Linked DNA regions of Danio rerio. The protein of the gene in region 1 binds, or shares a complex with, the protein of each later gene. Links are inferred from orthologs where the notes say so. Each region holds a gene or a part of one and is shown in the gene's direction. Other genes may lie near its edges.

Region 1 (8,255 bases):
ATCATCCGGGTAATTAAAGTGCACTTATTATTTTAAGATTTTTCAGTGTGAACACACTACTTACACTATTTATACTACAAAATGGCGTAGAATAGTGCATAAGTATGCGATTTGGGACGCAGCTATACTCTCCAGGACACCAGCCCTCCTGGACCAAGTTTGGACACCCCTGATGTAAACGAAAAAAAGCACACACTGCACATGAGATTTGGCGAGTGGCCTTTATGTGCTGTGTTTCAGCTCCACTCTGTGACCCACTGACCTGCAATGTTTATTTCCAACCTCAGCGCCACCAGATGTAGAAGCTATAAGCTCTACTGCAGGGGTGTCGAAACTCGGTCCAGGAGGGCCAGTGTCCTGCAGATTTCAGCTCCAACTTACCTCAACACACCTGCAAGGATGTTTCTAGAAAGCCTTTAAGAGCCTGATTAGCTAGTCCAGCTGTGTCTTATTGGGGTTAGGACTAAACTTTGCAGGACTCCACCCACTGATTGGGGTTGGAACTAATCTTTGCAGGAGACTGACTCTACTGGATAGTGATGCCTCCAGGAGCATGGCAGAAGACCTCTACTGCAGGGGTGACCAACCCTATTCCTGGAGATGCCTTCCTGCAGATTTCAGTTGTAACCCATATCAAACGCACCTCCCTGTAATTAACAAGTGCTGTTCAGGTCTAAATTAATTGGCTCAGGTGTGTTTGTCACGGTTGGAGCTCTGCAGGAAGATAGATCTCCAGGAGCATGGTTGAGCATCCCTGCTCTAGTGCAACTTTTTTTTTTTTCGTCTCAACACAGATGATGCAGGTGGCTCAGTAGTTAGCTGTCGCCTTACAGCAAGTAGGTCACTGGTTCAAGTCCCAGCTGGGCCAGGAGATTTTTTTTTTTGGAGTTTGCATGTTCCCTCCGGGTGCTTTGGTTTCCCCCACAGTCCTAAGACATGCATGAATTGGGTAAACTTAATTGGCCTTCAAGAGTTCACACTTAACTTATAATCAATAGAACGTAATTGACATGCTGTCCCAGGAGAGAGCCCTGAGCTCGTAATATCCTCGAGCCCAGGGCTCCCTCCCGTTAGAAGGGCTAGAGGGGAGTTAAAGCTCAGGTAGGTCTCGAGATCTCCCCTGCTTGTAGCCGTGTGAGAAGTGTAAACTAAGGTTGTCTTGGGTTAATTTGGTTTAGTCGATTGGCTATGGTGTATGCTTTTGGATGGTGGGAGGAAACTGAGGAACCCAGGGAAAACCCATAAGAAAACGGGGAGAACATAGAAACTCCGCACAGAAAAGCCTACAAGCCCGATAGGAGGTTGGACCAGCTGTGTTCTTGCTGTGAGGCAACAGTGCTGGCCACTGGGCCACCGTGTCGCCCTATGGAAAAAAAGGGTGGAAAGTAGGGGTGGAAGGGGGGGGGGGGCTCCAAGACGAATATAACTGGAGTGAAAAACTTTGGTTATTTATAATGCTTCCGTAATCATCTAATAGAGCAGATTACAGAGCTAATGAGGTGCCAGCCGTGTTGATCATAAGCACAAGATCCTCTCGAAATTATTTTATAAATAAATCACACACAGTGAAAGAATGTGTGTGTGAATGAGAGAGTGTATGGGTCTTTCTCCTCACTGGGTTGCAGCTGGAAGGGCTGCATAAAACATATGCCAGAGTAATTGCCGGTTCAATCTGCTGTGGCGACCACTAATAAATGAAGGATAGTGAGTGAGTCAATGCAAGGCTATGTGTTGACTTTTCTTAATGGTTGGTCTTTGGTGGCTGTTACTTGCTCCCTCGCTCATCTTCTTTAAGCTTAGTTCCTGTTTTATCAGGGGTTGCCACCGCGGAAGAAACCACCAATTAGTCTGGCATATGATTTGGATGCCCTTCATACCCGCAACCCAACCCCGAGAGTACACTAATTCATGAACCCCTGTACTGGAAAGGCAGTTTCATTATGTTTATTCATTCATGATTTTACCAAAAGTGACTAATTAATGAGGACTATTTGATTTTTAATTAAAGCTGTCAATAACAGCATAAATAGGCCCAGCCAATCACACTGTCCTTATGTGTTTGTGGGAGGGAGGACCCAGGAAGAGAATGTCACTAACCATTTCTGCATATCTAGGTTAACAAGGGTTGATGGAGCATTATTTTATTTTGAAGGTGATTCAATTATTGGTGGGGATAGTTCAGTAATTGATAGATATTGGTGGGGACATATGCCCTCCATCCAGGCCAAATCTACACCTTTGCTCTGGACTGTGGGGGAAACCGGAGCACCTGGAGGAAACCCACACAAACACAGGGAGAGCATGCAGACTCCACCCAGAAATGCCAACTGACACAGCCAGGACTTGAATCAGCAACCCTCTAGTTGTGAGGCGATAGTGTTAACCACTGAGCCACTGTGCCACCTTAATGAGGTAAATAAAAGAAAAAATAAATAATAATAATAAATTCACAGCAGATTGAAAGGCAAGTACTTTTTCGGTTGTTAAATATATTATTATTTCATATACAATATATTGTTTAAACTATTAAAACCTCAATAAAAGTATTTTTTAAGAACAACAGACACAGACAGATAAAGTAGCATGCTAATAAAACCAAACAAAGTGTCAGCATTTATTATTGGTGTTAACTGGGTTTTGCCACTCATATAAATAGGTTGCTAAAACATTGTGCATCGGGTTGTGATATGTTCAAAACTAAATTAAACAGTGAATCAAGTATATCAATCTTGTTTTCCACAATTGACAGCTTTTAAAAGACACTTATTGTCATAACAAAAAAACTGGCAAAATATGAAAACGTTATTTTAAATGATTTAAATGCACATCAAAACCATGATTAATTGAATTCTGTGGGTAAAACAGTCATGAGTGTCGTGTTGAGGTTGCAGTCTGTAGACTTCATTCACCCTCCTTCTTCCTTCCCTCCTCTTTTCTCTCCTCCTCTCATCTCATCATCAGGAAGCTGCTGCGCTCGAGCCTTTTCTAGCGCGTGAGTGAGTTACTGTATTGTACTGTGAATCTCGGGAGGGGGGCTGCAAAAAAATCTCCTATTCTTACTGAGGTCCACCCCCCTTATTTAAAACTTCTTAAGCCAGATTGCTTTCCAACAGGTCACAGGACGTAGATGCCTTCTTGATTCACATATTTATTTTGTTTTTATTTTAGTTTATGGTTTGGTTTTTTAACACTCCGGGAGGGCAGAAATGGCGGCCAACATGTACCGGGTCGGAGGTATGTCCGTCTATATTCTGAATTAACGCAAGTCAAAACACAGGCACCACCGTAAGACCTGACTGGAAGGCAGGGACTCATTTCAAGCGAATTCCCGAAACCGGCCGCTCACTTTTAAACTCTTTAACACGTGCAGTGTCCTTGCAAAAGAAAACGATAACGTGGATGCAGAATATTTTGGGTTCTGATTTGGGTCAGGCCTCTTAAACTATCATAGCCGCACTAGCATTTTAGCAAGCAGGCTATGTTGCTAGCTAGCCACATCATAAACAAATAATCACTACTATATGTAAAACAATCGGAAACGCGCACTTAGAGCACGTTTCTCTTAGATTTACCCACATAGGTTAAAAGCGAGATATGCTTGCTATTTAACCATTGCAATTTTAGACGCCGATGTTTTTCTTTGTGATCATTTGTCTCATTTTTTGGCACGTATCCATTAGTTACGGGTTCTCATTCGGCATGCAAGGTAGCAAAGCGAGCTAGCATTTAACACCCCTCACTCGATTTCCTTAGAGAAACCACATTCAACTTCTGCCCACTTATTTGCCGAAGCGTTAAGAATTTGCACTGTTTTGATGTGCATTTGTTGTCACGCGTGTAATTAACAGCGTGTATTTAACAATACCGTCGCGTCGTTTGTTTGTGCAATTAGCCGGCTACATGCCGCGGAATTTGACATTGTTTCATGGCGGCGATAATGCAGTGCCATTGAAAATGCTTTTGCAGCTGGACGAGCAAACTTCCTATGAATTCACTGCAAATCTAATAGCATTTGTAATAATTGAATACTTTGCGCGGTTACCTTATGACATGCTCCTTGTGTGATGTTATGTGTTGATACATGTGTAAGAATGTCATTTAAATGGCAATGAAGAGAAAATGCTTGTTTGCATGAATGAAGTGTTTGTTAATGAATGCACATTCTTCACCTCGTCGTCTTGTTTTTGACAAATGCTATATATACAAATGTATCCCAGAAACAAACCATTTCTTAGCCTCAGTCAAAGGCCAAGCTGAAGGTCTTAGTGTCTTGTCAGGTCACACAACACAATTGGTAATGTTTTAGAATAGTAAAAAAAAACATTGCATTATAAAATGTGCCATTTCTAGGGATTTTCATCATTACCGTAATGTAAGTGCAAGAAGAATTCCTGCAATCGAAATGATAATGTTATCAGTTATGCCTAACTGTAAGGAATGTATCCTTTACCCAAAAATTCTTTAGTGTGCAAAATTGTCCGAGGCATATGCACAGTGCTGTGACTTGAAATACATGGTGTTTAAGTTTACATACATGCCTTTAGTTGCCATGATGGCATCAGGTAGAGAACTTATCGATGGAAAAAGTAAAATTTCACAAAAAATGTATGTTGCTGGTTTACGAATGTGTATGTCGTTGCCAACAGGGCAAAAATAGCAATAATGAGATCTGTTGGTGTTACTTCCATGCTGTTTTCTAAAGTGTGATATGATGTCACAAGTTTCAGTCGCAAATGTTTCAATCAGAATGTATAAAGCAAATAAACTGATGTTTGAATCTGATGATAGTTTTTAGATTGTGTAAACTGATGTGCAATTCGATTTAATTCATTTAGATGAACAGAAATTGGTGCATGAAAGCATGTCTGGTGTTTAATGTAGTTTTCTGGCTATAAAAGCAGAAACAAAACCTGCTTCACTCCTTATTTTCATGCTTAAATATATGGTCCACAAGCTTATATCACAATATTATATATAAAAATGACAAATGGCTCATTCATACATCCAAACATAGACTCTCTTAAATGTTTACATGTCTGTACTGCACTTCAATACTGCAACTAGATCGGCATGTGGCACATGTTGTAATTCGATTTCTGTTTAGTTCGATTATGACATTAATTGGATTGTTATTTTTTTATTGTGGTTTACATGGTAGACTCTTAATCAGAGTATTGTCTCGAAATGGATTATTATTATCCATGTAAACAATAATGGATGTTTAAATCCATCTCATTTGGCTACTTTACTAATTTACTGAAGTGGCCAAATGAGATGGATTTAAACATCAGTTATTGTTTACATGGACAACAATTATCTGATTTGAGACAATACTCTGATTAAGAGTCTACCATGTAAACCACAATAAAAAAATCTAATTAACGTCATAATCGAACTAAACAGAAATCAAATTACAACATGTGGCACATGCCGATCTAGTTGCAGTATTGAAGTGCAGTACAGACATGTAAACATTTTAATCAAACTGGTACTGTTGTGTAGGATTTTCGCCGCATTTTGCGTCAAGATACAGTAGTCTATACCAGGGATGGGCAAACTTGATCCTCGAGGGCCGGTGTCCCTGCAGAGCTTTGTTCCAACACTAGTCAAACACACCTGAACAAACCAATCAGTGTCTTCAAGATCACTAGAACTCTATGATGAGGTCTATTTGAATAAGGTTGGAGCTAAACTATGCAGGACACTGGCCCTCCAGGATCAAGTTTGCCCACACCTGGTCTATACACAAACACACGGCTGTTTGACATTATTCTTTGCACCTACCAAGTCAGTGAAGGACTACAGACACCTGCATCGTGAAATGCAGAGGTGTTTTTCTCAATAAGGTGTCTGGTATCAAATTTCATTAAAACAACACTCTTGCAGCAGTTCATACTCGCATTCAATATTTCGTTTGTCTAAGGGGGCATACATGAGATATTGTTGAATGAAAGTGAAGTGCCAAATTGCAGTTAAAGTCAACAAATTAAAAATAAAACTCCAGAGGAAATGTGGATAGTGTGGTGGCCCAACGAAATTAATCGAATTATGTGCTTTTAACATGTAAAACATAACAGGGACATTCAAAAAGCAACTCATGTTAACAACTTAACCATGTTATTGTCTTATTCAGATTAAAGCTAATAATTTGATTACTGATGTCCATGTAAACGTAGTCAATGTTCCCTCCTTTTTACTTGTGGACTGGTAAACACAAATCCTTCATAATACAATTTGTAAACCTTCTAATGAATAAATATCAGCGGGAACCAGTCGTGCCCCAGTTCATTGTTTCGAGTTGTATTTAATGTAATTTTATACAATGACAGGTTCGGGATTTCTAGTTTGCATTTGTTTGGTAAAATTTCTTATCAAAGAAGATATAGTGTCCCAATTACATCCATGTTTAGTATATAGAGTTAGATGAATTTGTACAATAGTATAGTGATGTATATAATAGTATAATGATGTTCACCATTTTCCTGTTTTTTTGTGTGTGATGTTGTTGTTTTTTTGTTTTCCGAGTCTCTGAGACATTTAACTATCATCCAAACCCAAGTTTTGACTTCCAACAAAAATTTTTTTTCTTCTTCTGCAGATTATGTCTTCTTTGAGAATTCTTCAAGCAACCCCTATCTGATCAGGCGAATAGAGGAACTGAATAAGGTACATTATTACCCTCAGGGCTGGGAGGGAGATGTAGCTAGTCGGACAGTGGGTGTACTAGTAGGGTGTCGACACAACATTGTCATGACATTGACGTAAAAAAGCTTAGCCACTTCACACAGAGCTAAATTACTTGCATTTCTGTATGCTTCTTCCGTCAGTCTGTTGTGTTTTCACTCCAAACCTTGTTTGCCGAGAAACCATATCTGTGTGAGATACGCAAAACACCAGACTGCATCCAGGAGTCCCTTAGAGAAGTAGGCTGTGGTGTGAAACCGACATCTTTTTTTCTCCCCCTGTAGGACGTCTGTATTATGATCAAAGAAGATTCAGCTCTTTAAATATTAAATGCTGAAGGATTTTTTAAACAGCCCTTTTTAAACACAATGCATAATTCAAATTAGTCTTTTGCCATTCTGCTTTCATTGTCAGCATACTCCTTGCACACTATTCTCATCGATTAGTTATTAGATCTACTATATTGATATATTTTTTCAAAAGATAGACCTCGCTGTTTGGCATATTCAGTTCTCTTCAGGTTTTTTTCTGCTTTGGCCTTGCACATAAGCTCTGTCGAGCATCCAAACAAATGATTTCCCTGCGGCCATTGAGATGCACCTTGTCTGCATTATTTTTTTCGGCCAGACTTTATGTATTAATAGTCCTGTCAGATAGTAGAAGCAAACACTATATGTATTGATTAGATACTATATAGTTGAATGATATTGAATTATGTTTTGACTGCTAATGCACTTGTCTTAGAGAATGAATTTATTAATTTAGACATGAAAATATTTATAAAATGTGACAGAAGCTCAAAAATAAATGTTTATGTAATAATAAAAAATAATAATAACAAAATTGAAAAAATGAAAAAATTTTACCTTGATACATTTAAAAAAAATGTTACACATTAAATAAATCTTTTATAATATGTATAAACACTAACAAAGGTTTGTCAATGTTCAAAAACTTATGTGTTTTGAATTTTAAGCAATCTTTTTTTGATAATCAGAACATTTGCCAATGGTGATCATTTAAAAACCATCTGCCAGATATCAGTTGGCTGCCATTGTTTGCAATTAAAAAAGCATATATATAAGTCACCAAATATGTTTGAATAAATGCATCTGCCAGTGCTCATAATTAAAATATCTGTGTTCTGATAATGCTTAAATAGTGCAGGTGCATGAGATGAAGTAGCTATAGGTTCTTGTAGAGTATTGTGCGTACATACAGGCCAAATGTACATTTCCAATGTGTTGCATGTATAATATATGTATAATTCATGACCAATATATAATTAATGTATAATTCTCATCCACTTGAATGATCTTGTCAAACCCATCCGAAATGCAAATACACTGACAGTTTTCAAGAGACATCTGAAATCTCTTTAGCACTTGACTATGTCTTTCTGACGTTTTATTTACTTATTTATAAACTTTGTATTACTAGTAATAGTTTTTTTTCTCTTATTGTTGTATCGTTTGTTGCTTTTCATAGAAGCATCTGCTAATTAATGCATGTAAATATTGAATTTTGGTATTTATTTTAGAGCTGTCAGTTTAACTTAATTCAGTGAAGCT
Region 2 (8,017 bases), on another chromosome or scaffold:
GAGTATAAAACATTTATACATGTTTGTCTATTTAACTCTTATGTACTGTTAGGGAGGTTTTTATCCACTCTGGGGTCATTTTGAGTCTTAATTTGGCCATAACTTTTTCAGTGTTTCAGCTAGCAGAATGATTTTAATGACAAATCTTATTTTGACACATATATTAAGAAAATGCTTTGGATTTAATTTTTTTTTTACTTAATGATACACTCTGAGCAAATGTACTACCGTGTGGTTATGTTAGAGATGAAAACATCCACTGAAATAAACTGCTGTAAAATGCATCAGATAAACCTTTTTTAAAAATTTATTTGCACAAATCTGTTAATCAACCTCAGTCCAGATCAAAATTACTAAGTTGTTAAGAAATCTACAGGATTTTAACTCCTTAAATGGCAAATTCATAAATGATGTCATTGATTTGGTGAAAAAAAACACACAAATGATTACATATTTTCAATAATACAATAAGTAATTGTGGATTGGATTTTTTTTAACCTTTTATCACAATCTTGGACAGTTGAAACAACCGTGGGGCTGTTTTTGCCTCATTGGCTTCCATTATAACCACATTTTTTTTCATTACAAAACCATTACACAATATACATATGCATTTTTGATTTTCCCTGTTGAGAGGAGGTAAGTTTTGCAATTTTTACTGTTGATCATAAGTTGGTACCATTAAGCCTTTAGATACACCTGTGAAAAAAGTTTAGTTTCTGGATTTTATATGGAGTATTTATTCATTCATTCATTTTCTATTCGGCTTAGTTCCTCTATTAATCTGGGGTCGCCACAGCTGAATGAACCGCCTATATGCAGTATAAAAGCAAACTAAAGTGTGTCTGTGAGTTTGTGAAAGTGTTACATTGATGTGTCTAAGAAAATCAAAATATACATCTCAGCTCTCCGAACTACATGGAGTAAATAAAAACAAACATATATGCACCATCAAATGTGCTTATAAAGGAAGTCAATGGGCCAAAAACAGCCATCAACAATAAATTAGGGAAAAACTTTAAATCTAACAATGCATCAAAGCCAGTGTTGTTACTAATCATTCACATGTCTAAGACTGTAAAAAAAATCCACAACTACTTTTTATATTGAAAATAGGTCATTTTGTGTGTTTTGTGAGTAGTAAATTTGAACAGTGCACAAGAGTTAATGAATAAATAAATAGTTGGCTGTCTGAGCGGTTGGTTTTCAACCAAATTACTGATCTCACTTTGGCAGATCTAGTATTCGTAAGCAGATTATCCATCTCACTATGCACATAACAAGCCAGAGGATCCAGCTAATGCATCCTGATTAACTGACATTTTCTTTCAGTCAGATGTCAGAGTGGTCAGTAGACATCTATATTGTTTAAAAATAATGGACACATTATACTAAAGCACCCTGCAGCCCAAGACTGGTTACTCACTGAAGATAAGCAGAGCTGAGCCTGGTCAGTGGGAGACCAAATGGGTTGCTGTTGGAACTAAGTGGTTTTAGTGAGGCCAGCAGGGGTGCTCAACCTGCAGACTGTGTAAGTCCTAATGCCCCAGTAAAGTGAAGGGGACACAATAAAGCTAAAGATCTTTGCCCGAACCTGACAGGACCCGGCGGTAAAGCGCTAAACATCAAGCTGACAGGTAAAAAGACGAGGTCACTCGCTACATTGAAACCGCTGTAATGGGAAATTAAATGGATGTTCCTGGCTGGTAGAAGATGAACAAACAATCCTACCCAAAATTAGCCAGATCAGACCTATGCATCTAGGCCTGTAGCAGCAGCAGTGAAAGGGTGTTCGGTGCCGCTGGATGCACCATCCTGAGCACAGGACTGCGCTAAAGCAATTTACAGTGGATTCAATAATGTTCCTCCACAAAAACACGTAGCCTAATCTTGGTGAGTAAAGGGTTTTTAAATGATAAATAAATATTAATTAAACCATAAAATCATAATGTGGACAGAGTATACAGACTAATGTTGGCATTAGGCTATTCTTTTAATATTCTGCTTCACCGTCGCCTTAAGGCCAGATTGTGAAGAGAAGTGGCGAAACAAATCCCTCAGAGCCTTTATCTAAATTTTGTTATTGCCAAATACCCGTCATAATTTACAATTCATTTTAATTTAATTTGTTAAGAAAGACTTCTTTTCATGGGTGTGTTGGCCAATTTAAAGGCTAGGTGAATGTAGCTAGGCTTTTACACTCTCAGAAATGAAGGTAGAAGCTGTCACTGGGGGCTGGTACCTTTACAAAAGGTAAGAATTTGTACCTAAAAGGTCCATATTAGTACCAAAAAAGTACAAGTAGGTACTAATATATACCTATGAGGTACCAATAAGGACCTTTCAAGTTCAAATGTGTACCTTTTGAAAAGGCACCACACCCCAGTGACAGCTTGCGTACCTTTATTTCTGAGAGTGTAGAGCGCCGAGATGTTACGATGTTACAGAGGACTTATTTTATTTCTTTGTTCCAACTTCCAAGTGGCCTATAGCCTACGTTTGTTACGAATAAATTATGTTGAAACATATAAATGACTCATTCTTGAAAAAAAGGCAAACGAGCTGTGTGCCTGTGCACATTTGAATAATGTCAGGCTGTAAACGGGTTTGGCCTTTTAAAAAGCTGTCAATCAAAATGTCCCTGTCGGGCTCACGCCGAATTCTGTTGGGCTTGGGCCCTGTCGAGCCTAATTTTTATGGCCCAATTACAGCTCTAAGACACAACTGTCAGTGAGTGCCGTCTTTCAGATGTTAAACTGAGGTCCTGACTCTCTTTGGTTAATGAAACTTTTCATAAAAGAGTAGGGGTTTAATCCCAGGGTAATCGCCAAAATTCTCTCAATTAGCCCTTACCCATCATGGCCTCCCAATCATCCCCATCCACCGAATTGGGTCTATCACTGTCTCGCCACTCCACCAATAGCTGGGGTGTGGTGAGCCCAGTGACGCTGTAGTCCTGTGTCTGTTGTGGCGTACAGTCTAGGTACGTGGCCGGCCGGAAGTGAGATATGCACATAAATATAGCAGCATTTTTTTGTGATTCTATAACAATAATTAATGTTTTTAATAAATTAATATTTTTCAACAGTACATTTTTGTACTGTTGGGTCAGTAAGATTGGGTGTAGGATTGGGGTGCGGGTAGACAATAACAAAATACAATGGGAAATGTAAAAATAAATAATATAAATCATTCTCGCTAGCTTCTGCCAAAGCCGTGTGCGATCTAGTGACAACCCTGGTGTGGTGGTGGTGTGGAGAGACCTTCACATGATTGTGAAGTACTACAGTTATATTGGCCATACATGATAAAATGCAATATATATAAAAAATACGCATTTACAAAATAAATAATAAAAAAAATTGTAGACTGCAAAATGTGTGTTTAATGTATCACTTTGGCATTAAAGACTTCCAAACAGGCATACAATAATGCATAGTTTGCTCTAGCTGGCTCTATTTCATCAATTACAAAATAATATTATCTAATAATCATAATCATAATAATAATAATAAACGCCTTCGACTATCAACATTCCACACGCTTATATTACCAACTCACTGTTTTCCACTTTCTACAAACAAGAAAAATCCAGAATGAAATCTTCATTGTGGAAAAGAGAGGGAGAAGGGGAGAGAGAGGCGGCAGAGGCGCGTGCCTGATGACGCAGTCACTCTTTTTGCCGAGTATCATGGGAAAATAACATAGCAGGCTAGCACGCGCAGGAAGAGAGGAGAAGAACCGACACCTCCGCGCACAGAAACTATTCCCGTGCGTTAATATTCATATTTACCTCCCCGAACAACTACAAACCGGCGAACAGAAACCACATTTAACCGTTCAGCGAGTCGTGAAGTGTTCCCGGTTGTTGTTGTCGGTTTCATTTGTCGGCTTGTTGGATATTTAGCGCGTGTCGCTGTCGAGCGAGTTTGCGGAAGAGGTGGGTTGTTAAATGTACCTTTCATAAATCACCACAGGCATCCTGCCGTCTTTAAACCACAAACTATATGTTTACAACTCTATGAACGCTGCACGTGGTGTACATTTTCACAAAATAGTGAAAAGTCTGTCAAATGCGGGCGATTTAAATGGACAAGTCGCGGTTTTCGAGCCGGTTAAGTTGAGAGGGGACCGTCATTGCTGTCCGCTAGCCTTTATCTTGTCTCACCTCACTATGCATATCTATACATCTGCTCTTTGTGTTCGCATTAGGTCAACGCCGTTCCTGCTTCGGACGCCAAAGCCCAACGAGATTACATTCGGGGGATAAGCAGAAAGTTTTCATCACGCGAGGTTACAGTCGACGGCGGTGTAAATATGAGTTACAAGCCGATCGCCCCCGCACCCACCGGCTCCAACCACACTCCTCCAGGTGAGTTTCATTGTGCTCTCTGTTCATTCATTTTTACGTGCTTCTTTCATTTTGAGGTATTTTACGCCTATCATCTTTTTAAACGCCCCGTTTTAATCCCAAGGAAAGGGTCAGTGAACCTACAGTAAAAGAGGTCAGAGGCACGGATAAAAGGGGGAGGAGTTAAAGGAGCCATGGCCATCTGTCTTGCTCATTACATAAATGTGGTTTAACGTGCTGCTAACCGCGCCCTGCAGCGTTTATTTTTAAAACCATAACTGTTTCCCCAGTGTTAGTGTTGTGCCATCACATCTGTGTGTCCCAGTCTTGCCTCTGTTTCTCCTCACTTCCTTACACACACAAACACACTGGGTGGCAACGTTTCATTGGTCGAATTTGGCCTTTTGACATTTCCTTGATTTGTGATTGGTCTTTATCTTGTTCTCTGGTTTCAGGATCTTGTGGCTCTTCTCCATCACTGGCCTCCTCTTCAAACTTTAGACCAGCATTTAGTGACTTCGGTCCTCCATCGATGGGCTTTGTACAGGCATGTTTTGATGACATTGGGGTTTTTTTGCAATTTGCTGTATTGGAACAATGATTAATTTCAAACCTGTACATTTCTGTTCTTTTTGACACGACCAGTCAAAATTTTGAACTACGTTTTTCAGATGTTTTTGGAAAAGCCTCCTTGGCTCACTGTGGCTGCATTATTTAATGAATATAATATAATTGCTGTAATGTTGTGTTTAACATTTTTATAATACAATTTTATGAACAATTAACACATTTATATAGGCATTGGGGCATAAATGAGGCAGTGTATGTTTTGGTTTCATATTATGTTAAGATTAAATGTAAGTGTTCTTGTAATTAAAATATCCAAAACCCAGTAAAAGTGTTTTTTTGCTAACTTGTGTACTTGCTTTATCTCAAATGTTAAGTAGAAATTGAGAGAAGTGAGCAGTTTTAACTTGACACAACCGTGTCCAGTGTTGCCATGCTAATTATGTCATACATTTGGTGGCAAAGAGAGCTGAACGTGCTGCAATTTAAGAAACTACAAAAAACAAAAAAATAGCTATTACAAAAAACGGCAGCAAATTGAGAAAAGATCTTCATCGGTTTGACAGCACACGTGCTGCATTTTCGCACAACGCAAACAAATAATAAAATACGCTGCATTTTCACACAACGCAAACCTTTTACGACACAGTTTTTGGGTCACCTTGAAACATTTTCGTTGAGTCAAGTTTTTTGTGTTGTGAGCAAAATCAGTGCGTTTTCGTAAATTGTTTGAGTGTGACAAAATGCAGTGCGTTTTCGTATAAATTGTTTTATTGTAAAAAATGCAGTGCATTTTTGAAAACGAGTATGACAAAATGCAGTGCGTTATTTAAATTGTGTGTGACAAAATGCAGTGCATTTTCGTAAATTGTTTGCATTGTGAGAAAATGCAGTGCATTTTCGTAAACTGAGTGACAAAATGCAGTGCGTTTTTGTAAATTGTTTGAGTGTGTCAATGCAGTGCATTTTCGTAAATTGTTTACGTTTTGAGAATTCAGTGCGTTTTCGTAAATTGTTTGGGTTGTAAAAAATGCAGTGCGTTTTCTTAAACTGTTTGCGTTGTGAGAATGCAGCTGTTTTATTATTTTTTTTGTGTTAAAAAAGCAGTGCGTTTTTTATTTATTTATTTTTTTTTATGTTTGCGTTGGGAGAATTCGCAGCACAGCTGTCAAATGGATAAGGATCTTTACTAAATTTGCTTGCGAGTTTTGTAATTGCGCGTGTTTACTTAAATTGCAGCACATTGAGCTCTCTCGGCCACTGTACATATACCCTTGATTTATGTTTTGCTTTTATAGAAAACTGAAAATGACGGTCCTTGTTTTATGTCGCATATTTTATTAGACTAATCAGAGCAGCAGTATAACAGAAGCCTAAAATTTATTTAGTATGATAAAACTGCTGTGCTGCTTCACATGATCACAATTTGGGGGAAAAAAGGAAGAGGTTGACTGTGGCATAATAAAAGCTCCACTGTTTTTCTGCTATGTCGCACTCTTCTCTTATCAGCAATTGCTTGATTGCTTGGAAGTCCTAATTCCAAAATGTCATTTATTTCTTTAGAGGCAAAGCAGAATTTTCATTATCGTTATTTCAGTCATCAGTGTGACCTGATAGAATCATTTGTAAAACAACATAATTATTTAAAATATTTGTTTGAATATTAGTTTCCTAAACTGAAAGTGCAACCCATAATTTAACATTTTAACATACATTTGGATAAAGATAGCCAGAATGGCTTTAAATTCCCCTAAAATTCAAAGTATTGAGCCATAAATTATAAATCTTTTTGAATAATTACAAACTTTTGATTTGTAGTGTGTATTACACTTTTTTTTGTAAATAGGGTGTCACACAGACTTCCTCAACGGCTGTCTTGTTTTGTTTTTTGTAGCCGGTCAAAGTGTCCCAGGGATCTACCTATAGTGAGCTGCTCTCCGTCATTGAGGAGATGAGCCGTGAAATTCGGCCTACCTACGCCGGCAGCAAAAGTGCCATGGAGAGACTGAAGAGAGGTACTCCAAAGCCTTCTGAGCACAGTACAGCATGCAGCACATTTGTAACAGTCAGTGACGTTTAGCCCCCTGGAGTAATGTGAGCCTAAGGGCAGTCGAGAGAGTTGTTCTCAGTTTTTCAGTTCTGTGTTCGTGCAGTGTTGCTTTTGCCTGCTCTAAGAAAGGCTTTTGCATTTTACTCTGACTTATTGTTCCTAATGCTGCTTTGTGCCAAGCCTTATACACTACCTGACAAAAGTTTTGTCGTCGATCCCAGTTGTAAGAGTAAAAAAACTTGATCTCTGGTTGATCTTTTGGAAAAGTGGCAGAACATCGATTTCTTTTTTTTCAGATGAATCATGTTTTGAACTGCATCCCCAATCATTATAAATACTAAAGATGACCTATTGGAACGCGCTTGGACCCACGATTCTCTCAGAAATCAGTCTAGTTTGATAAAGGAAAAATCACGTTTGAGGTTATATTCAGTATGGGGGCGTGCGAGAGATCTGCAGAGTGGATGACAACATCAATAGCGCGAGATATCAAGACATTTGTGCTGCCCGATACATTACTAAACCACAGAAGAGGGCAAATCCCTCAGCAGGATAGCAGTCCTTATACATCAACCTCCACATCAAAGTTCCTGAAAGCAAAGAAGGTCAAGGTGCTCCAGGATTGGCCAGCCCAGTCACCAGATATGAACTTTATTGATCATGTCTGGGGTAAGATGGAGGCAGTGAATATGAATCCAAATAATCTTGATGAACTCTGGGAGTCCTGCAAGAACACTTTCTTTGCCATTCCAGATGGATTTAATAATAAGTTATTTGAGTCATTGCAGAGATGTAGGGATGCAGTCGTCCAAGCTCTTGGGAGTCACAATATTACATACACAATATTAATTCTTTATAATAATATTAATTTCTTACATTTATATAGCACTTTTCTAGACTCTCAATTGGCTTTACACATCGGTGGGGGATCTCCTCATCCACGACCCGTGTGCAGCTTCCACCTGACGCGGCCATATTGCACCAGACCACACACCAGCTGATTGGTGGAGAGGAGACAGAGTGATGAAGCCAATTATGATATGGGAATG

What was found. The genes of interacting proteins can lie anywhere in the genome.
Region 2: mta3 (region 1) and cdk2ap2 share a complex: the UniProt entries of both Homo sapiens proteins name them as parts of the nucleosome remodeling and deacetylase (NuRD) repressor complex. The link is inferred for Danio rerio from reciprocal best matches to the Homo sapiens genes MTA3 and CDK2AP2.

What each region holds. Positions count from the first base shown.
Region 1 is NC_133187.1:27,002,412-27,010,666, forward strand, and holds the start of mta3 (metastasis-associated protein MTA3), read left to right. Parts: upstream 1-3,003; 5' UTR 3,004-3,064; exon of another isoform or gene 3,065-3,168; 5' UTR 3,169-3,206; coding exon 3,207-3,234; intron 3,235-6,598; coding exon 6,599-6,666; intron 6,667-8,255. UniProt on the Homo sapiens protein: Acts as a component of the histone deacetylase NuRD complex which participates in the remodeling of chromatin.
Region 2 is NC_133176.1:43,112,165-43,120,181, reverse strand, and holds the start of cdk2ap2 (cyclin-dependent kinase 2-associated protein 2), read left to right. Parts: upstream 1-3,732; 5' UTR 3,733-3,940; intron 3,941-4,212; 5' UTR 4,213-4,317; coding exon 4,318-4,372; intron 4,373-4,806; coding exon 4,807-4,898; intron 4,899-6,812; coding exon 6,813-6,933; intron 6,934-8,017. UniProt on the Homo sapiens protein: Acts as a component of the histone deacetylase NuRD complex which participates in the remodeling of chromatin.